Elephas maximus indicus: one gene and its partner. Each later gene encodes a partner of the first gene's protein in a complex. Links are inferred from orthologs where the notes say so. Each region holds a gene or a part of one and is shown on either strand. Other genes may lie near its edges. The genes, in order: OSGEP and GON7.

Region 1 (10,532 bases):
ATGCTGTATCTCTATTGCCTAGAACAGTGCTTGGCACATAGAAGCTGCTCAGTAAGTTATTTGCTGAATGAATTTATTAAGCATCTGATATGAACCAACCCTATGCTACATACGGAAAATATGACAGTGAGCAAAACAGGTATGTTTCATCAAGGAAACATGAAAGTGCCCCCATCTCATTACCTCTCCCACACTTACCTCAATGAAAGACAGGATCCCTGAGAATGAGACATCCATCCCCTTTACAGTGTATGGCAGCTCAACTAGCTTCTTGCCTCTATGTGGGAGGGAGTGTATGAGGCACTAAGCCTAGAGTCAGCTGGCTGCCCCCCCGAAGCCCCCCCAATCCTCAATAATATATATACAAGGAACTCCCTTAAGCCCCACCAGTCAGCCTCCCTTTATTTTATGACCCCTCACCGCTTTGCCATCTGTTCAATGTTGTAGCCTGGACTTGGATCATTGGAAATCTGGCAGAGAGAAAAACGGGAAAGAAGTGAATGACAGGATGAGGTCAGATATCCAGGAACCATAAGGAACTTATTTACCCATTCCTCCCTCCATTTCCACAGCTCCCCAGAAAGTCATCCACATCTTATAATCTCTGCAGCCCCAATGCCTCACCTTCAGCACTCGGGCAAAGCGATCCAGACAATTACCCACTGCAATATCAATGGTTTCCCCAAAGATGCGGTAACGATGTTCTGAGTACGCAATCACCTAAGGGTGGTGAGGATGTCCATGAAACCTCAAGTCTGTAAAGAGGAGTATTTGGCTTTGGGGAAGAACACAGCAGAGGATCAACATGGCCACTAAACTTTCCAATACTAAATAAAAAAACAAGTATTTTCCCAAATCCTGAATGGGTAATTTTCTGTAGCTCTTACCTGAGAAGCAGCCCACATACAAGGATTCCCAGAAAAGATTCCTAACTTACCGAAGGTATTCCAGGTTGACTCAGAAGCAAACCATCACTTCATATACTTTTTTTTTTAAACATTTTCCAGGACGCCATTTGAAAATGTGGACTAGGGAACAGGTTCTCCTGCTTAGAGGCAGGGTACAATACAAGTGCCCTTCTAGATTATACTAACAGGGCAGTGGTATCTGGAAACAAGGGAAGAGGCAGAGCTGAAGAACTCAAAATCCTCTGTTGGGCTAGACTAATGGCCCACTCCACTCAGCACTGGCAACTGACTTATGTCTGTTCTTCACATGCGACCAGCTTCTAGCACAGGGAATATTTATCACCCACTGACAGACACATCTGCTCCACACCTCCCACAGTGAGGGCTCCCCAGGGACCATAAACAGTCCTTTTCCCTTATCGGAGTTGCTGGGGCTTTCTTTCCTTTTTGATGTAAATCTTACTCTGTCATCAAGGGGTTTCAGCTGCCAAAACGCTGGTGACAAAAGAGGAAAGAAAAATCCTGTCTTTCTACTTCTGTTACTCACTCCTCTCTATCCAATTGTCTTGTTTTTTATGACTAGGCAAGTTTCACAAGGGAAGAAGGGAAAACTCCATCTCTGATCGTCCTCATTGACCCTTGTAGACTTCTCTGCTACTGTCTATCCCCCAAATCCCTAACCTTTTATGTCATCCTTCTAGCTCCAACCAGCTCCTAACCCTCTACCTCCTGAAGTTCTCACATCAATTCCATGACTATGTGTACCTCATCTTTAATAATTATTTCACAAAATGAAGTTTTACAACATAACCCTCTTAAAAGCTGAGGACAATGCTCAACTATCCTTGACAAGAGCTCCGTCAGGTGTTCTGCAGGAAAGGAGGACTGGAGTCCTCTGACTCCATCCTCAAAAGGTCTTGCAAATACCCCAAACAACTCTAGTTTCACCTATGAATGTAAGACCTTTACCATTTATAAAATACTTTTTAAAATTTTTATATTTTCACACTCTTGGAATAATGAATTCTATACATTTACCATGAAAAATAAAAATACAAATCAGGTAGTGCTCCTTAGTCTTAATTGTTAAGATTTATAGAAAAAAAATAAGCTTTAAAATATAAAAAAATCCTTCCATTACTTCGAAGGCTTCAATCCTTACCAGTCTTTCAATTTTCTAAACTGGAGATTCCTAATCTTTACATACATAAAAGTTCCTGAATACTCTGATTGTCCTGCCCAAGTCTGCAATGCTACAAACTCTGTTGCGGGTTCTCTGATGTCTAACATTTTAGGCTCAGATGAGTCCAGCTTTGTTCTTGCAGTTCCTGCCACCCATGTAGAACACATAAGTTGCTGGTATGGCATCTCAGAAATTAAAAAGATATTGCTGAAGTTTTCTGTATACCTGAGTATTTCCTCCACTGACATACAGCACAGTTGGGTTGGTGGCTCCAGTGATGAGGCGGCCCATCTCAATGTGGCCAATACAGTGGTTCACACCCAGCAACGGCTTATTCCACAGCTGGGCCACAGTACGGGCAACAACAGCCACAGACGCCAGTGGGGCACCCATGCCAGGGCCTAGGGGGATAGAAATGGGCGTTAGAATCCTACAGAGACTGGGAGAAATAGGGATGGCGAAAGTAGGGATGTGAGAGGTGGGGTAGAAGTTAGTGGTGGTGGTGGCTGAGGTGAGGTGTAGGTTATTTTGACCCAGCCAGGCTCTAGGCCCATTCCTCCATTGTTGACCACGCTCCCAGCCATACCTTTGGTGTAGGCAACACAATCAATATCCTGGGAGGTCAATCCAGCCTCTGTTAGTGCCTCCTCCAGGAGATCCAGGATAACGGCTCGATGGTGCCGGGCAGTGTCACCTGGGAGGAATCCTAGGAGATGGTCACAGGTCAGAGGTTTTTCATTGCAATGATAAGTAGAAGAGAAAAAAGTTTTAGTATTGTAGGAAGAGTTCCTTTCTCCTGAAGTATGCCGTCTTCCGGGCTTTCAGATATTCCTTTTCACAATTTCTGGCAAACCCTGGTGGCACAGTGGTCAAGTACTATGGCTGCTAACCAAAAGGTCATTGGTTCGAATCCGCCAGGCGCTCCTTGGAAACTACAGGGCAGTTCTACTCTGTTCTATAGGATTGCCATGAGTTGGAATCAACTCAACGGCAGTAAGTTTAAGTAGGTTATGTAGGCTGTTAAGGAGCTCTGGATGCACAGTGGTTAAAAGTGCTGCTAAGCGAGAGGTCAGTGATTTGAACCCACCAGTCACCCAGCGAGCAGTCTGCTTCTGTAAAGATTACAGCCTTGGAAGCCCTATGGGGGCAGTTCTACTCTGTCCTATAGGTTCGCTATGAGTCAGAATCGATTTGATGGCTACGGGTTTGGTTTTTTGGTTAGGATACAGGCTGTTCAGCTCTCAGAAATGTCCTTCTTCATAAGCAACACAGCTTCCGGACTCAATCCTAGTTAATACCTACCCCATACCCTTTGGTGATCTTCCTTTGTGACCCTATTTAACCCTTTCAAAAGCTGAGAACAATGCTGAGCTATCTCTGACAAGAATTCTACCAGGTGTTCTGTGGGAAAGGAAGATTGAAGTCCTTCAGTTTATACACAGCACTTAACATGTAACAATCATAGCATTATAATTACAAGTTTCTCCCATTTAACTCTGAGTGCCTCAAAGCATTGGCTATTTTATTTATTTCTGCATTCCTGGGGCCCAAGTGCCTAGAAGAGTAAATGCTAAATATACATAGTTTCTCAGGTACACACATGTCAGTTGCTCTCTCCTAAGTGTGCAGGTGTATTGGGGGAGGGTAGGCTAAATAGGATACAACAGCTTAAAAATAACACTTATGAAAAGTTGTAATGTATCTGCTACTTCCATTTAACTCTCAAGAATCAGTGAGACAGGTCTTATTATCCCCATTTTAAAAGTAAAGAAATCCAAGAACATGGACAGTGACCACGAATATTACAAAGTCAGCAAGTTCTAAGCCGGGAGTCTTTCCACTCTGACCGCTCACTCTCCTTCTGGTTCTAGAATATTTTCATTGCATTTCTGATACCATTTACAGTATGACTGTGTCTATATGCCCGACTCCACAGCAAGCTCATGACATCTATTTTTGTATCCAGCAGCCAGCCAATGCTTGGCAAGGAAAAGGCGCTCAACAGAAGTTGAACGAATCCTGAAGATCCAGGTCCAAGTGCCTGCTGACTCTTCTATCCACCATAATTGTGACCTTAACACTGTCAAGTAGTATCAGTGAGCCTCGGATCAAAAGCTGTAAAATGGGATAATGCACCCCACTTCACTGACGTTTAGGAAGACAGAAGGTGATGCTGTGCGGTGAAGCGCGCTGTAAACTCCAAGTCCGCTAGTCATTTACCTGTGCCCGGCGGAGTGACGTAAGTCCGCCGCGGGTTCGCCAACACCGTGCCATCCCGCACTATTCCCACGCCAATCTTGTTGGCGCTGCCTTCGAAACCCAGCACCGCCGGCATGGTCGAGCCTGAAAGAAAACGCCGGCAGGGCTCCTGGTGACCTGTGGAGCGCCTCACCAGTCCGGGCTCAGCCGCAGAATCCGAGCTGAAAAGGAAGAGGACTTGCCCGCGGCTGGTACACAGCAACACGCACCGTCTCAGACCCCAGAGAACCCTTAACTGGAACGCTCGAGATGCGCGCACCGCCCCCGTCGTCACGGCGACCTGTGAAGGCCCCTTCAAGGACCCGACCTCCTAACTGCCAGGCATACTGACCTGGCATCTGCCCCTTACATTCCTATCCGCTCCCCGTATTTTCCCCTGGTGCAGTTCAGCTTCTCCCCCGATGTTTTTCCCTCTTGCACAGCGTCGGGATCTTCGGTCAGGGTCGCAGGATGAGTTATGCATCTGGCACAAAGATAAACAGCCCCAGGATGGTGGGTTGGGGCCTTCAGTCCCCGGGAGAAACGGAGCCGAGAGGGAAGGCCGGGCTTCGTCACGTGGTGACAGACAGACCAATCACTGCCGTTCCTCGGCCGCCCGCCGCGGACCTAGGATCACGTGACTACGCCAGTTACCCACGTGGGGGCACAACGGGCTCCATTCTTTGTGCCCGGGTAAGGAGGAGTCGGGCTGGGACTCGAGCAGGTCAGCTATGGGGGTGCTGTTCTGCCCACAGAGGGATTTTTCCTGAGGTCTGGCCAGCTAGGCTGAATCGGGGCCCATTATTAAGGTCTTAGATTGGCCGGAGGGCAGCTATCGGGAGGAGGGGCCAAGGCACTGTAAAACAATCTTGTCCAGTGCGTGTGGGGCTGAAGGGCCTATGATGCACCGAGGCAGGGAAAAGATTCAGAGATAATGCGGTTAGAGGCGACATCTGGTATGGGGATGCCTGAGAGAGGAGTCTCCCCGTTGCTAGCCTTAGCTGGTTTCACGATTTCTTTGCATCCGTAGGCAGCGCGCTAAAAATTTTGCTTCGGTGGGCGACGTGGAAGAAGTGCCTAAGGGTATTCCTTGCAGGGATGCCGAAGCGTGGGAAAAAGGGAACTGTGGCTGAAGACGGGGAAGAGCCCAAGATCGGTAGGAGAATAAAACGAGCTCCTCTCCTGGAGGCTGCGGTGGGGGTGCTTCCACTGTCTCGATGAAGGAAGGAGGCAGTACGGACCGGCCCATTTTTTTTTTTTTTTGAAGGTTTATGTGATCGAAGTCGTAGGTTCTCGCGCATACGGTTAACTTTGGGTCAAGGGTGGGAAACCACCAGCTTTTATCACTATGTGTTATTAATTTTATAGAGCAAGAGGCCAAAAAGAGTAAGACGGCAGCAAAGAAAAACGACAAAGAGGCAGCAGGAGAGGGGCCAGCCCTATATGAGGACCCCCCCGATCGGAAAACCTCACCTAGTGGCAAATCCGCCACACTTAAAATCTGCTCCTGGAATGTGGATGGGCTTCGAGCGTGGATTAAGAAGAAAGGTTTAGATGTGAGTAAGAGGAAGTGAAATTCTCTAGTACTGATCTTGGGTTTAATCCCTTTTTTCTCTTTTTGTTCCCTCGGATGCAGTTTTTGTTTTTCCTTGTCTAATTACCTTGTGGGAGAGGTACAATGGGAACTTCACAAAGACTTGCTAGTTGTAATTTTTATTAAACGGCCATTCCCTCAATTCCACTGCCACTATTCATGTCATTTCTTTTCCAGTGTTTCAAAAACCTCTTTATTGGACTTTCTCCATTGTATCTCCAATATATCTTTCCTTCCAATAAGTACTACTTAGCTATCCACTGCGCATATAAGCCTCTTCTCACCTTCTTCCTTTAGTTATCATTGTTAGAACACTTAACATTGTTTTATAATTGTTTAAATACTGTTTTGCTGGACTGCTGAACTCCTTATGCACAAAACCTCAAACCTCTCCTGTGAATTTCTCTTGTCATACGGAGATTAAACAAATGTCTGAGTTGATAAGACCTTCTCATCTTCACTCCCAGTGGGTAAAGGAAGAAGCTCCAGATATTCTGTGCCTCCAAGAAACGAAATGCTCAGAGAAGAAACTACCAGCCGAACTTCAAGACCTGCCTGGACTATCTCATCAGTACTGGTTGGCTCCTTCAGACAAGGAAGGGTACAGTGGTGTGGGCCTACTCTCCCGCCAGTGCCCACTCAAAGTCTCTTATGGCATCGGTGAGACACTCTATTGATCCCTAATGCCTGAGCTCTTCTGAACCAATTGCTAATACTGTCCTCCTGCCCCAACTCTATTCCTTCATTTTCTTTTATAGTTTTCTCTGATTCTCCTTCATCTTTTCTATAGGCGAGGAGGAACATGATCAGGAAGGCCGGGTGATCGTAGCTGAATTTGATGCATTTGTGCTGGTAACAGTCTATGTACCTAATGCGGGCCGGGGTCTGGTGCGGCTAGACTACCGACAGCGCTGGGATGAAGCCTTTCGTAAATTCCTGAAGGGCCTGGCTTCACGCAAGCCTCTTGTGCTATGTGGAGACCTCAACGTGGCTCATGAAGAGATTGACCTTCGCAACCCCAAAGGAAACAAAAAGAATGCTGGCTTTACTCCGCAAGAGCGGCAAGGCTTTGGGGAATTGTTGCAGGCTGTGCCACTGGCTGACAGCTTCCGGCACCTCTACCCTGACACGGCCTATGCCTATACCTTTTGGACCTACATGATGAATGCACGATCCAAGAATGTTGGCTGGCGCCTTGATTATTTTTTGTTGTCTCACTCCCTGTTACCTGCATTGTGTGACAGCAAGATCCGTTCCAAGGCCTTAGGCAGTGATCACTGTCCTATCACCCTACTCCTCGCACTGTGAGACCTCCCAAAAATCGCTTTGAGTCTGGAAAATGAGCCCCCTAAACTAGCATTTCTTCTTCAAAACTTCCTCTTAAGAAACCTGTGCTGTACTTGCCTTCTAAAACTATATGAATCCTCCAAACAGGCTTCTAGTGACAAATTTCAGCTTTCTTGAACTTTTAAGCGCAAGATTTTTGTTTCATGTTTTTTTTGTTTGTTTTTACATTAAATAAAAGCTACTGATGACTTCTTTTGAACTGTCCTTGTGAAAATAAAAAGCCATAGTTTCAGCCTTGCTGCCTTTGTGTTTTATCTGTTTCTTGGTGGGACTACAAATTCTCGTTTTCCCTGTCTTCATACATGCAAGTTAACAAATGGAGAAGAGTTGAGTCATGACCGTATTTATTTACAAGCATAGATGAATCCCTAACCTCCCCCAAGACGCAGCAACCCTACCCAGCCCAGATAGATACTGCAACTGGGGTTAAGAAGGTTGGAAGGAGGAATTAAAGGGAAATACAGGACTAGGGGAACATACCCCCACATTAAATAGTTATATATACATCAGTTCCCGTGGTTCTGTACAGAGCAGCGGCTGACCCCACCCCCACAGGACATGGAATGTGGGGAGAGGAGACTGAGGGTACTGAGGCCAGAGCCAGCCCCTGGTGAAGTGCAATAGCAGCAGCAAGGTCCTAATGGTGCACAAGAGGGAGGGAAACCCCCAGGGCTACCCCACCCACCCCTGCCCTAGAATGTGTAAGGGACAGGAATGGCTCTCGGGGCATATAGGAAGCACAAGGCTAGAACCGTCTTTTGGAGCCCAGCTTTAGGGGCAACACTGCGCCTACTTCACCCTTAAACACAGCAACCCTTGGAGGAGAGCAGATGGCCATCAGTGGTCTTACCTACCCCTCCAAACCTAAATGAGGGCCTGGTTCCTTCCTACCTCTCCCCTGGGAAAAGGAAGGCAGCTGCTTGGCTTCCCTTGTGGAAGCCCAGGGAGCCCTTTATCCCAGCTCCCTTTGTAGTGTCACTGTCCCCACCAGGGAGGGGCCAGGCACAGTCTGTATATCATGGTGGGGCTCAGGAGAAGTTCTGGGCAGGGTGGCTGACCTTCATACAGGCCCAATACAGGGCCCGGCCCAAACACAGCACAGCCAGCAGGATGACACATGCCCAGGCTGCATAGATACCTCCATATCGCCGTGCATGCTTCCATGTGCCAAACTGAAAGAGGTGAGGAGGAAGAAGGAAAAAAAGATGGGGTTAGTGTTGATCTCTTATAACTTCCCAGGAGCCCTAGTAATAGTGAAGTGACACAGACTCAAGCTTCTGTCTCAAGTCCCTACCCATCTGTAAAACCTTCAGGGACCTTTTTAAAGGCCAAGCTGCTCAGTTTCCTTCCCCTAGGCAGAAACATTCATACCATCCCAGACAGACACCTGTCAGTTTTTCTTAATGTCTCACAACTGAGCCAGGCTTCCTAATAAAAAACCAAACCCGCTGCCGTCGAGTTGATTCCGACTAATAGTGACCCTATAGGATGGAGTAGAACTGCCCCATAGGTTTTCAAAGGAGCAGCTGGTAATTCAAACTGCTGACCTTTTGGTTAGCAGCCCTAGCGCTTAACCACTACACCACCAGGGTTTCCATGCTTCCTAATATCAGATCTTAATCTAAGCCCCTTCTTCACTGTCTTGTCCTGTGCAGAGAGAGAGAATGGCCATTTTTCATTCCTACAGTAATGAAAAAGAATGTTGATTAGCTACCTTCAACATTAGCTCATCCATACCTTAAAAGAAAACCTAAGCAAACAGTCCTCAGTTTCTTTCACCTTTCTTAAAACCAAGACCACTGCCCTTGTGTCAATTCCGACTCATAGCCGACCCTACAGAACAGAGCAGAGCTGCTCCACAGGGGTTCCAAGGCTGTAATCTCTTACGAAAGCTGATTGCCACATCTTTCTGCCATGGAGCAGCTGGTGGGTCCAAACCACCAATCTTTCGGCTGGCAGCCAAGCACTTAACCACTGTGCCTCACTTTTCTTTAGGGTAGGTATTTCCCAAATCTCCCAGCCTATGGAGATAAGGCTGAGACAGAGGCAAACAGGAAGAATGAAAGGGGCTGAGTCAAGGTTACTCACAGCAAGGCCAGTGGCAGTGATTGCCAAGAGCAAGCCAAGCAAGAAACAGCAGATACATCTCTTTCGTGGATATCTGCGCCCAATAGACGACCTGTGGGGAGGCAAACAGGAGTGGATGCTTGTGATGTTCTCGTAGTTTTTATTCCACGTTACTGGATTACCAGCTCGATGATGCCACTCCCCAATCACTTACACTTTCCTGCAGTGAGGGCAACGTGCCAAGGTTCGGTCTGTGAACTCTGTCCACTATGGAGAAAGAAAAAAAGGAGAAGCTGATTAACGGTAGAAGCAGGGTCGTCCTCAGTGAGAACCCTGGGTGGAAGGGGTGGGGGCGGGAAACATACTTTTTCAGGGTTCAGATTATTACTCGAGAGAAATATAATTACTCCTAGTTTTTCCCCTGGGCTCCCCAATGCCCCTCCTCACCAGAAAAGTATTCTTGCAATGTCCACAGATCACCCTGACACCCACTGGCTGTGGTTCTGGACTCAGAGGTCCTGGATGCACAGGCCCCAGGTTGATGATTCTTTTGCTGTATATGAGAAAAGACGATGTTTAAAACATTTTTAATCCCAAGGATTTTAATCTCTCCTTCACCCCCCTCCACACCGCTACCCCCTCCCCCCCACCGCCTCTCTTATCAAGTTCCTCTGCTTCTCCATAGAGGGGCTCTATCCCTCATCTCCACTACAAAGAATCCTTGAAGAAACACACTGCTTAGAAGTCATGTCTTCACTTCTCTTCACCTCAGGATAATCCACCCAGTCCGAGGCTCTCCATTCTCCTAAAGGACATCATTTCCTCCCAATCTTTTTATGGAGAGATGAAATAGATGGCTATAACCCTGGGAGACACAACAGCCCCTAACGTTTTCTCCTAAATAAACTACAACACACTTACAGTCTCCATAAACATTCACCCTTCTTTGACTTTCCAGTTTTCCCCACTTAAGCCCCTCCCCACCTGATGCCTCTTACCAATAGGGCCGAGGGCAGGCAATCCGCTGGGAAGTCACTTTGCAGATAAGCAGACAGTTACAGGGGCAGCGAACATATTTTTTCCCTGGGGGTGCATTCTTGATAGGCTATAAAATAATGGGGATGTCAGCAAGCAAACCTCTAATCCCAGCCCTTTTCCAATTCCCTCTGAAAACACCTTGAGGAAAACTCAGAGA
Region 2 (11,617 bases), about 76 Mb from region 1:
CTGAAAGACAACTAAGTGAAAGCATAAATCCTCTGTGAACACCCGTTTCTAAACTGGGGGGAAAATACACTGATTTCCTTCCATACCTTTTTTCTAAAATAACTTTCCTTCTCAGGTGATTTTTAAACTTCCTAAATTTAAAAAAAAAAAAAATTTTTTTTTTTTTTTAATATTACCACCAAGCAACCACAACCTATTATTTAAGGGTAAAAATTGGTCTTGTCCTTGGCTACAGAATCCTGTTTTTCTTAATGTGACACAAAAGCACTTACTTTCAGTCATCGTGCATACAATCTGTATGGTTCACATTTTAAAAGATTTCTCTGATATCAAATTCAAATAGCTTATTTTTAGGTAGGATCATGCGGTTGATTTTCCCGTGGAAAAGGAAAGCTGAAGCTGTTTCAGCGATTAACTTTGTTCTGCCTGCCTATGGTTAATGTCAGAACCACTAGAAGGCAGCGGGCTAGAAAACTAGGCAACGCACTTCTTCCACACTGGTTCTTCCAACTGATCCTTTTTGTCACAGAGGTGGCCCGCTTCCGCACTGGTTCTTCAAACCGATCCTTTTTGTCACAGAGGTGGCCCGCTTCCACACTGGTTCTTCAAACTGATCCTTTTTGTCACAGAGGCTGCCCGCTTCTGAAGACGGTATTACAATCTGAATCAGTATGAAAATTAAGGAAAAGATCAATCAAACCTATAACCCAGAATCTCAAAACACTGGGCCACAAGCACCAATATTATCTTGACATTTCTCCTTTATACATTTACTGATCAAAGGAAGCATAAAATACTCAGGGAGCAAAGTTCTGCTAGCAATTTAAAAATACGATCTATTTTAATTCTATAGGGTTAAGTTTTTTTAAGAATCATATACCGATACAAGATTATTATAATCAGTAACTGAGCTGAAGTCCTGATACTAGACAAAGCAAGGGAATTTGATTTCTCTTTTTATCAGCTTAAAAACATGGCGAAAGGCTATGTATGTAACTCAGCTCTGCCAACGGTTAGCTGTGTAACTCAGGGCAAATACTTATTCTGAGATTCAGTTTATTTCTGAAGTAAACCATAATTTTTAAGGTTATTTCCAATTGAAAAATTCTATGGCTTTGCATTTCATTAGGGTACACGCTACTTGATATCTTTGCATTCATTCGCACTTTAGCAATCTAAATAAATCAGGAAAGATGTACGGTAAATCAAAATGCCTTAGTCCTACTAACAAGTAGAAAAGGAACACACTATTTTAGGAATATCTATTTTTAAAAGAAATCAATAGTCCTGTTACGCAAGTATGGCTACAAGAGGAAAGGAAATGGCTCTAGTCAACAGATTAACTTAAGGCCTCCCATCTGGCCCTTAAGGCACAAGTTAAACCAGGTGATTAATACATATTTATTGAGTGGTAAGATGTCTACATTTTGGGTGTGAGTGTGGATTTAAGGTTTCCTTGGAAGCCTGGTGGTGTAGCGGTTAAGTGCTACAGCTGCTAACCGAAAGGTCGGCAGTTCAAATCCACCAGGCGCTCCTTGGAAACTCTATGGGGCAGTTCTACTCTGTCCTACAGAATCGACTTGACGTAATGGGTTTGGTTGGTTGGTCTGGGGCTCTCTCAGGAGTCCTAATTGTGCAGTGGTTAAGAGCTACAGCTGCTAACCAAAATGTCGGCAGTTCGAATCCACCAGCTACTCCTTGGAAATCCTACTGGGTAGTTCTACTTTATCCCATAGCGTCACTATGAGTCAGAATCGACTCAACGGCAACGGTTTTGTTTTGTTTTGTTTTTTGGTTTGGTTCTCTCTCAAAGGCTCTTTCTCTTCTGTATTTCTCTCTATGCCCTAATTTTCCTTCTCCGTGTAAAGAGCCACCACACTTACATTTATAATACCCAACTTTTGCCACTTGCTCATGTTAGTTCTTGAAATGTTATGTACTTTTTATAACAGAAGCAGAAGTTAAAAGATATAGACATCACACATTTAATTCAACGGTGCTATTTTATTTCCACAGTCTAAATTTTCTTTCTCACTCAAGATTTATTTCTAAGCATTTATTATATCTTTGCTGTAAACAGAAGCTTTTTCTTTGACAAAACTCCCCCAGGAGAACAAAACAGATGCTTTTCCAAATTAGGGCACAAGTCTTCCTGAAATGTCAGGGTGTGATAATTAGGACAGTAGCAGTCTTTCAGTTTAAATTTCATAAAAGCTATTGTTAAGACGGTGGTTTTGGCCGTTTTGCAGATGGTCCATCTGAGTTAGTTCTGTTATCAATGTTATTTTCATCTTCTGCATCATCTTCACCATCACCTTTTAAAATAAATATTTGTTGTATGATAAAATGTTCAATGGTTCAAAAGAAATATAGATCTTTAAAATGGTTGATAGAAACCATTTCAGTTTTGGAATTAATAAAACCATGCATATCTCAGATTCAAAATACGTATGATTAAAAATTTTTAGAAATTTATAACCTAAAACTTTTCTATCACTTTTTTTTTGGAGATATAATTCACATACTATAACACTCTTTTAAAGTGTCTTTATTTTTTTTTTTAGTACACTCACAAGGTCGCACAACCATCACCACTATCTAATTCTAGCACATTTTCATCACCCCAAAAAGAAAGCCCCTATTCATCATCAGTCTCTCGTCATTATTCCCACCCCAGCCCTTGGCAACCACTGATCTATTTTCTGTCTCTATGGATTTGCCTGTTCTGGACTTTTAATATAAAAGGAATTATACAATACACGACCTTCTGCGTCTGACTTCTTTCATTCAGCGTAATGGTTTCGAGGTTCACCCATGTCGTAGCATGTATCAGTACTTCATTTCTTTTTATTGCTGAGTGCTGTTCCATTGGATGGATACACATTTGTCTACCCATTCATTAGTTGATAGACATTTGGGGTGTTTCCAATTTCTGGCTATAATAAATAATATTGCTTTGAAAATTTGTGTACAAGTTTTTGTGTGAATTCATGTTTTCATTTCTCTTGGATACAGACTAGGAGTGGGATTATTGGGTCATACGGAAATTTTATGTTTAACTTTTTGAGGAAAAACCAAACTGCTTTCCAAAGCAGGTACACCATTTAACATTCTCACCAGCAAGGTATGAAGGTTCCACTTTCTCCACGTCCTCACTGATACTTGTTATTGTCATCTTTTTCACTATAGCCATCCTAGTAGGTATGAAGTGGTAGCTCAACTTCTTAAAATGACAGTATATATATAGGTAACAAAACACTTGTCATTTCAACAATCTTCACGTGCACAGTTCAGTGACATTAAATACAAACACGTTCATCACGTTTTTCACCCATCACCATTAATCACTGTGGTTTTGATTTGCATTTTCCTGACGGCTAATGACGTTAAGCAGCTTTTCATGCGCTTATTGGCCATTTGTATATCTTAGAGAACTGTCTATTCAAATGTTTTGCCCATTTCAAAAATGGGTTATTTGTCTTTCAAGGGTTGCATTCTGTCACTTTTTTTAGCAGCTGTTATAATTTTTATTTTTGCATACTTTTTGAGATATAATTCACATAAAGTCCATCATTTTAAGCTCTATCGTTTTTTGCAAAAGCAAAAAACTTGATCATTAAATATATAAAAACATGTCCTCCTATTACTGACTTATTATCAGCAGGACAAATGGTAGTTATTTTCCAATAAGTAATGATAGATTTTTAAAAAATAGCTCTAGCTATTATACTCTTGTTCTTACGTTATAACATTTTTAACAGATTAGAGAGCCAAGAAACAGGACTTAACTCTCAATATATGTGGCAACCACCAATTAACGTACTCATGGAAACAATCTATTATCTTGAACTCAGTGTAATGTCCTGAATTGATCTCTCCACATTATCCAGAACTATCAAGGGGAAAACAAGAGGGACAGTACTGTTTAAGCTCATCTATGGAAGAAATCCCGACTCCAATATTTAGTTCTTAGGTTTTTCAGCTCAGGCAGTCAAAATCCACCCGTTTTTGTATTCCAGACAAGATTGTTAAAAGTTAATGCAGTTAAATTTCACGTTTTTACTTCCAAACAACCACCTACAAAGCCAGGATATAAAAAAGGAGTTCCTCAGTTAAGACTTGTTAAACTGAAGTCTGTTTCAATCTTCGGAATCTGCGATACCTTGCAGTCTTCCAAACACGTGAGCCATCTCGCACCTGGTAACACTCCTTTCATCCTCAACACTGAGATCAGAAGTAGGGATGCCCTCTCTGAAGCCTTCTCTCGGTTTGCAATAGTTACAGAAGGCACAGGATTTATACTTTCACTCCTTAATACAGTGTTTACCTGTCTAGTCCCTCATCTGCCTGTGAGTTCCACAAGGGGACTCCATTCACCTCATTCTTTCTCTAGCTCAGCCCAGTGCCTGACAGAGTAGGCGCGTTCAGCACGTTCTGGGGGATAAAGTTGTGAAAACACTTCAATATAAACAGCCTAGATACACATGGCCGTGAGTGCCGACAATTTTTAGAGGGAGTACTCCTTCCATCGAGGGCTCCCCTTCCCCAAGTCCGCCACTCCACAAGGCTCCCCTGAGAGTCTCCCCGAGCGTCCCGCCCCGCCCCGCCCCCCAGCCGCTCAGCCTCGCCTCAGAACTCACCGTCCAAGGCCTCGTCTCCAGCCGCAGCCAACGGGTCCTGCGCTTCCCGCTGTACCAGGGGACCAAGGAGCTCGGCCACCCTTTCCCTCATCTGAACCACCCCCGACAACAGGCCCTGCAAAGGGTTGCCGTCGTCCGGCGCCTCACAAGACACCCGCAGCCGCAGCCGTTGCCCGTCCTGCCCTATGTACTCCCCTAGCAGCTCCATAGCGACTGCCGAGCTTCAAGCGCGCGCCACAAGAACACGTCACCCGGAAGCGGAAATCAGGCCCCTGCGGGCGCGGGCGGGAGCAGGGAGAGGAGTGACTTCCGTTTGTCCCGAGTCGCTCCTCCCCCGTCGGACACTTCCCTTTTTGGGGATTGGTTCCCGGGACTCAGGCCCCGCCTCCTCCGGCTACGCCTCTCGCGGCCGCTTTTCCCGCCTCCGCCGGGGCAGAGCTGCGAGCCGGGTGACAGTTGAGGATGGCCGGAGCAGAGGGCTCCGCTGGGCGGCATTCGGAGCTGGAGCCTGTGGTATCGTTGGTCGACGTCCTTGAGGAGGACGAGGAACTGGAGAATGAGGCGTGCGCTGTGCTGGGCGGCAGCGACTCCGAGAAGTGCTCCTATTCGCAGGTGGGCGCGCGGCCCGGGCCTCAAGTCCCCTCCGGCTCCCGCTGAGCCACCCCTCCCGGCCAGACTCCCAGTTCCAGGCGCCTCGGTCGTCTCCCCTGGGCTGGTCCAGGGCCGATGTTCGCCTCTGGGGTTCCCGCTCCAGGCCCGGATGCGCCTTTATCCTCCCAGGGCCCCTTTGTCGTTCTGTGCCCAGCCTTTCTCCTCCCGCAGTCTTCCTCCATCCAGCGCTCGGGATTCTCCAGGCTTGACCCTGGAGCGGCTGCTCAGTCCATCTCCAGTGTCTTCTTGGTAGCCCAGCCACTTCTTAGGAAACCATCCCCGTGACTTCTCAAATCCAGACATCTTTGTTTCTACTTCTCCCATTCTAAGGGCATTTATTAAGAACAGAACCATTAGGTTTTTTTTTTTTTTAAACTTTTATTTATTTTGTTGTTGAGAATACACGCTGCGAAGCAGACACCGATTCAACAGTTTCTACGTGTACAATTCGATGACATTGATTGCATTCTTCAACTTGTGCAGCCAGTCTCACCCTCCTCTTCTGAGTTGCTCCCCATTAACATAAACTCACTGCCTCCTAAGTTTCCTATCTGATTTTTCAAGTTACCGTTGTCAGTTTGATCCCATATAGGTAGTTCTTAAAAGAGCATAATGCTCAAGGCAGACCTTTTTTACTAGTTAAGCTAAACTATTGCTTGGTTTTAAGAAGACTTCAGGAGATATTTTTGATGTAAGGCTTAAAGATGATATCAGGGCAATAGTTTCAGGGGTTCATCCAGCCTCCATAGCTCCAGAAAGTCTGGAGTTCATGACATTTTGAAATTCTGTTCTGCATTTTCTTCCTTTTGATCAGGATACTTCTATAGGATCTTTGATCAAAACCACTAGATATTTATCAGGAGAGTCAAAGCAGGGTTAAAAGAGCTCTGGATTTGAAAGCTGCCCTGTGTGGCGTGGGCTGCTGAACAGCTAGTTCCTCTCTGCCGTTTAGTTTGGCAGATGCTTGTACTTTTGTGGTGAAATGAAGCAAGTGCCATGGCTGCCTGTAGTCTGCCGGCCTTGGAAATAGACTGGAGCCAGAACAGCAGGTGACACTGGCAAGCGGGGCAGGGAGAGGAGAAAAGGAAAGAATATGTTGGAAGAGGAAATTTGACATTTGGAAGACGTTGTGAACAAGGGTTCGAGAGGGTCCGATGTAGTGTTCAGCGACTCATCCTATATTTCTAGGTATCAAAGTGGAGAAAGGTGGACAGGAGGAAACAAGGAGTGTGAATTTATAGGAGGAAGGTTACCTAGACAGGAGGGTCGAGTGGAACATTGGGGGATGAGGAGAGAGACTTGCTGTCATCATGTGGTGTGCACTGAGATCATAATGCCAGTTGTCATCAATGACCAAGTTGAATTTGCACTGTAAAGTGGTTAGATTGTTGAGTAAACCTGGCATCCAGCTGTTGGCTGGTACTTTAAAACCTCTGATCACCACTGAAACAACATTTACTGTCCTTTTAAAAAATGGTGATAGGTCCTAAGTCTGTTTGTACACTATTTTTGAAATGTAGTTAGCTTTATGAAAGTTAGCTTTAATTAAAATTCTTTCTTTATTGTAGCATAATGGCAAATTATGCTAAAAAAAATCCAGCAGTGGTTTTGTGTTTTTTTTTTAATGGCTAATTGCACAAAACATGAGTATGGCTCTGAAAAAGAGTGACCACGTCCATATACCTACCACCCAGATCAAGAAATAGAACATTACTGGCATCCCAGAAGCCTCCCTGTGTCTCTCCCTCCTCCCTACAGGAGGGTAACCATTATCACGCTTTCTAAAAGCATAAGTTTTACCTTTTTTCCCCTTCAAATTTGTATTTTGAAATTTTTTAAACCTGCAAATAGAAGATTATGAACACCTGTATACCTCTCACATACATTCCTTGTTTTATCTCTAACACTTTCCTTTTTTTTTTTCTTTTTGACTGAACCATTTGAAAAGAAGTTGCAGATATCATGACACTGCACCTCTAAATACTTCAGCATGCATCTCCTAAGAATGCATTGATTTCTTTTGTAGAATTATAAGCCTTTTCCAAAATTAAGGTGTGATATAACTGGGTACTCGCATTCTCCTGTGTTTTCATGTGCTAAAATGATTAACCAGAACAACTTGTTCACAGTTGACTGAAATTTTAAGACTTCTTATCACTTTAAGAAGAAACTGTATGTAAATAAGCATAGTGTAGTACATGTATAGTGGTATGAAACATGCAACACTTCTCGGTGGTTTTTACAGGAAGATATTGACCACAGGTAATCTGATTTTAATTATTTCTCAGATGTTAGTATACGTATTAGGTAACTATGCCATATTTTATTAATTCATCCTCTCTCTCTCCATTTTGGGGCTGTCTTTTAGGGCTCAGTAAAGAGACAAGCACTATATGCCTGTAGTACGTGCACCCCAGAGGGAGAAGAACCAGCTGGGATTTGCCTAGCTTGCAGTTACGAATGCCATGGAAGTCATAAACTTTTTGAGCTATATACGAAAAGGTAAAGCCAGTCAGAGATTGTTACTGAATGCTCCTTTCCCAGCTGCACTTTTTTTTCTTAATTTTGTTTTTCCCTTAAAAGTAGTTGTGCACTAGTGACATTTAATATAATTATTTTATATAATGTAATTAGAGAAGGTAATTTTTCTAGAGGGCCTTTTAAGATATAACTGTGGTACAAGCTGAAGCTACTCATTCTTCTCTGCCATTGTTTTACATCTATTTACATGTATGTAGATATAGTTACGTGTACGTAGATATATGCATAGGGAGCCCTGGCAGCGCAGCGGTTAAGCATTTCACTGTGAACTAAAAAAGTCATCAGTTTGAATCGACCAGCTGCTCCTTGGAGACCCTATGGGCCAGTTCTACTCTGACCTATAGTGTCACTATGAGTTGGAATCTGGGCTTGGTTTGGTTTTATACACAGGTATATATATATATGATATATCTATCTGTCTTTATGCATGTTAATTTCTAGAATGTAAAATCCCATTTATTGTTATGTGTTTGGGAACATTCTGAATTGAATACCTGAACAGCAACCAAGTCTTCTTTTTAGATCCTGGAAAATTGTGGAAAAAGGAGTAGGCTATGATTTGAGTTTAAAGAGTAAGTTAAAAAGAAAAATAAAATTGGCTCTTCTTCCTTTATTTCAGAAATTTTCGTTGTGATTGTGGAAACAGCAAGTTTAAAAATTTGGAATGCAAACTATTTCCTGTAAGTAAGCACTATATATAAATGCGGAGAAAGAAGCTGAAGTTGATATTTGCCAGAGTGGGTGAAAACCAAATGTTTTCCAAAAAGGAACTTCTTATTCTCTGCAGTGGTCAAATCAATAATAGACTTATTTTATTTTTCACTTTGTTGGAAAAACCGTATACCCTGTTCTAAGCCTACTGAATAGATTGTAATTAATGTGAAGGGTTTGGGGGAAAAATGTTCTTAAAAGCGTTTCAGGTTCAGTTATGTCGGTTGTGTTCATGCTGTGAGGCTTTTAGAGAAAAGAATATGACTTTAAAAACTGAGTAAGTAAAACATGCTAGCAATGAATGTGGGCTAGATGCACACAAGAGTTTTTCACTGCTTTTTTGTTAATAAAACCTGCTTATGCAAAAACCTTCAATAAAACAACAAATGAAAGAGAAAGTAAGAAATGCCACATTGTTCAATTGTAATTGCTAAAGATGTCATGCTTTTTCCCTCCTTTGAAGGTATTTTTAGGCAATTTCCTTGCCTGCTTTTGATCTCCTAGTACCGTGGGGTCCTTAACTATCCCTGCTGGTCATAAAGAAGTACCCCCAAAATTTCAGGTCAATGTCAGTTTACATAGGTTAATAATTAATAATTAATTTTTTTCTCCATTTAATTGAATGGGTATATTCAATTTTCCCCTAATTGCTACAAAAAATAAATTTTATCTTTTTTCTGTATCTTGGGAAAAGTGTCCCTTCAGTGGGAGTGATTTTTTTTCTTTGCACTTTGAAAGTTAAAGACCAGCTTCTAGCGGGGGGAGATACTAATTTAATGCATACATTTCATCATGCGTGAAATTGTAGTTAAAATTAAACAATGTTACATATTGAAATTGTCTTTCAGGATAAAGCAAAGGTAAATTCAGGCAATAAGTACAATGACAACTTTTTTGGACTGTACTGCGTTTGCAAGAGACCTTATCCTGATCCTGAAGATGAGGTAAGAGAATTCGAGGTTAAAACCTGGGGCTCCGTTATCACTGGCTTTAACTCCTCAGCCTCTTGACATATGTGGGCTTCTGTAGCTGTTCAGCAGGGGGGGTGTGCATATTGTGAAAGAATTCTAAATTTATCCCTTCTTAATGAGTCTGGGCTAGATTTATTACTGGTACAGATCTGAACTACTATTCTCACTTTTACATTATAAAAATGAAACATTGTCCAGAACTTTCCCAAGGCCAAGACTTCTTTCCTTCCCTCTGTGTTCTTCCCTTTCTCTGTTTGCCTGCTTTCTCCTCCCCCAGTCACTCAAGAAATGACCTTTAAATTCTTGCCTCCTTGAAAGGAAAGAAATGCGGTTTGAGTGTATAAACTAGGCCCTCTTTAAAAATTCCGTTAGGAATATATACAAAATTAAGAGTTTTTCTTCTTCACTTCTGTACCTTCCTACCTCCCAGACAAAACCACTGTTAACACTTTTCGATGTATATATTCTTAGAACTTTTTCAATGCACGTGTAAGTAGTTGAGTGAATGTGTGTTTCTGTGTAGTTTCCTTTTTTTTAAACAAAAGTGAAAACAGTACTGCAACTTTTCTTCTCAGCATATCATAGCCATCCTTCCATGTCAGATGTAAACACCAATTTACATCATTCTAAGTGTCGCAGAGTATTCCATAGTTTCATATGGCATGAGTTAGTTCACCTAAATTTTCTTCTGTACGAGAATGGTCATGTCTGGTTTTTCACTATTATAAAAAAGGCTGCAGTGAACATCTTTATATGTCTTAGTCGTCTAGTGCTGCTATAACAGAAATACCACAAGTGGATGGCTTTAACAAAGAGAAATTTATTCTGTCAGACTCTAGGAGCCTAGAAGTCCTCTTGCTCCCTCTGGGCCTCTCTGTTGTGTTCCCTGTCAGGGCAGTCATCGGCTGTAGCTGGGCACCATCTAGTTCTTCTGGTCTCAGGCTGATGTAGTCTCTGGTTTATGTGGCCCTTTCTGTCTCTGGGGCTCATAATTACCTTGTGCCTTGGTGTTCTTCATTCTCCTTTGATCCAGGTGGGTTGAGACCAATTGATACATCTTAGATGGCCATTTGCTAGCGTTTAAGACCCCAGATGCCACTCTCCAAAGTGGGATGCAGAATGTTTTCTTAATAGATTTTATTATGCCAATTGACTTAGATGTCCCCTGAAACCATGGTCCCCAAACCCTAAAGGAGTTCTTTTTATCTTTAGAGAAATTAGCCTTCTTCCTTGCTTTCTAACTGTCTTAGATTTGTAATTGTTGAACCGAATTATATAGAAGAACAAATTGAAGATATCTTTGATATCTTATAAAACTGTTGGATCAAAAGACAGAAAAAACAAGACGAGGAAAAGACAGGACAGCATTGGAATTGTTAATCAGTAGACATGAAAGCCTGGGGATGAAAGGAAAATCATTCAAAAAACTGTCTACGTCCTTCGGTATATAATCTTTCTAGGGTTGACATTTAATTATTTAATTAATTCAAATGAAAGAAATTGTTGCTGTCCATATTATCAAGAAAGTGTCTTTCGCATTTACTTTTCAGTTTTCTTGGCAGCATGGTGTGGTAAGAAGTCCCAGTTGCCACATTCCAAGTTGGTCAATTCACATTCCCTCCCGGGGCCTCAGTTTGTGTGTAAAATGGGAAAATGAAAATGCCCTGCTTACGAAGTTTTAAAACCAGATGCCCCATAGGGTTTCCAAGGAGTGGCTGTTGGATTCAAGCTGCTGACCTTTTGGTTAGCAGCCAAGCTCTTAACCACTATGCCATCAGGGCTCCAGATATTAGGTAATTGATATGAAAGAGCTTTTGGTAATGGCAAGGTGCTAATCTCAATGAGGAGCCCTGGTGGCACAGTGGTTAAGAGCTGTGGCAGCTAACTAAAACGTTGGCAGGTGAAATTCACCAGCCGCTCCATGGAATCCCTATGGGGCAGTTCTACTCTTTCCTGTAACGTTGCTCTGAGTTGTAATTGACTTGATGGCAGTGCACTTGGTTTTTTGTTTTATCCCAGTGAAACCCTTACATGACACCAGTTCGTGTAGAACAGATTTCTTTGGCCCTTTGATCCATTGTTTCACCCTATCCCTTTGAGTAC

The links.
Region 2: OSGEP (region 1) and GON7 share a complex: the UniProt entries of both Homo sapiens proteins name them as parts of the EKC/KEOPS complex. The link is inferred for Elephas maximus indicus from reciprocal best matches to the Homo sapiens genes OSGEP and GON7.

What each region holds. Positions count from the first base shown.
Region 1 is NC_064828.1:30,594,590-30,605,121, forward strand, and holds the start of OSGEP (tRNA N6-adenosine threonylcarbamoyltransferase), read right to left. Parts: upstream 4,901-10,532; 5' UTR 4,689-4,900; coding exon 4,682-4,688; intron 4,671-4,681; exon of another isoform or gene 4,435-4,670; coding exon 4,312-4,434; intron 2,798-4,311; coding exon 2,678-2,797; intron 2,493-2,677; coding exon 2,317-2,492; intron 721-2,316; coding exon 625-720; intron 471-624; coding exon 421-470; intron 278-420; coding exon 199-277; intron 1-198. Other genes in the region: APEX1 (DNA-(apurinic or apyrimidinic site) endonuclease), read left to right, coding at 5,428-5,485, 5,698-5,885, 6,391-6,583, 6,714-7,231; PIP4P1 (type 1 phosphatidylinositol 4,5-bisphosphate 4-phosphatase), read right to left, coding at 8,299-8,442, 9,359-9,449, 9,552-9,604, 9,785-9,890, 10,336-10,442. UniProt on the Homo sapiens protein: Component of the EKC/KEOPS complex that is required for the formation of a threonylcarbamoyl group on adenosine at position 37 (t(6)A37) in tRNAs that read codons beginning with adenine.
Region 2 is NC_064828.1:106,785,197-106,796,813, forward strand, and holds GON7 (EKC/KEOPS complex subunit GON7), read right to left. Parts: upstream 4,887-11,617; 5' UTR 4,849-4,886; coding exon 4,641-4,848; intron 2,316-4,640; coding exon 2,221-2,315; 3' UTR 1,966-2,220; downstream 1-1,965. Other genes in the region: putative E3 ubiquitin-protein ligase UBR7, read left to right, coding at 5,103-5,252, 7,660-7,793, 8,452-8,512, 9,392-9,487. UniProt on the Homo sapiens protein: Component of the EKC/KEOPS complex that is required for the formation of a threonylcarbamoyl group on adenosine at position 37 (t(6)A37) in tRNAs that read codons beginning with adenine.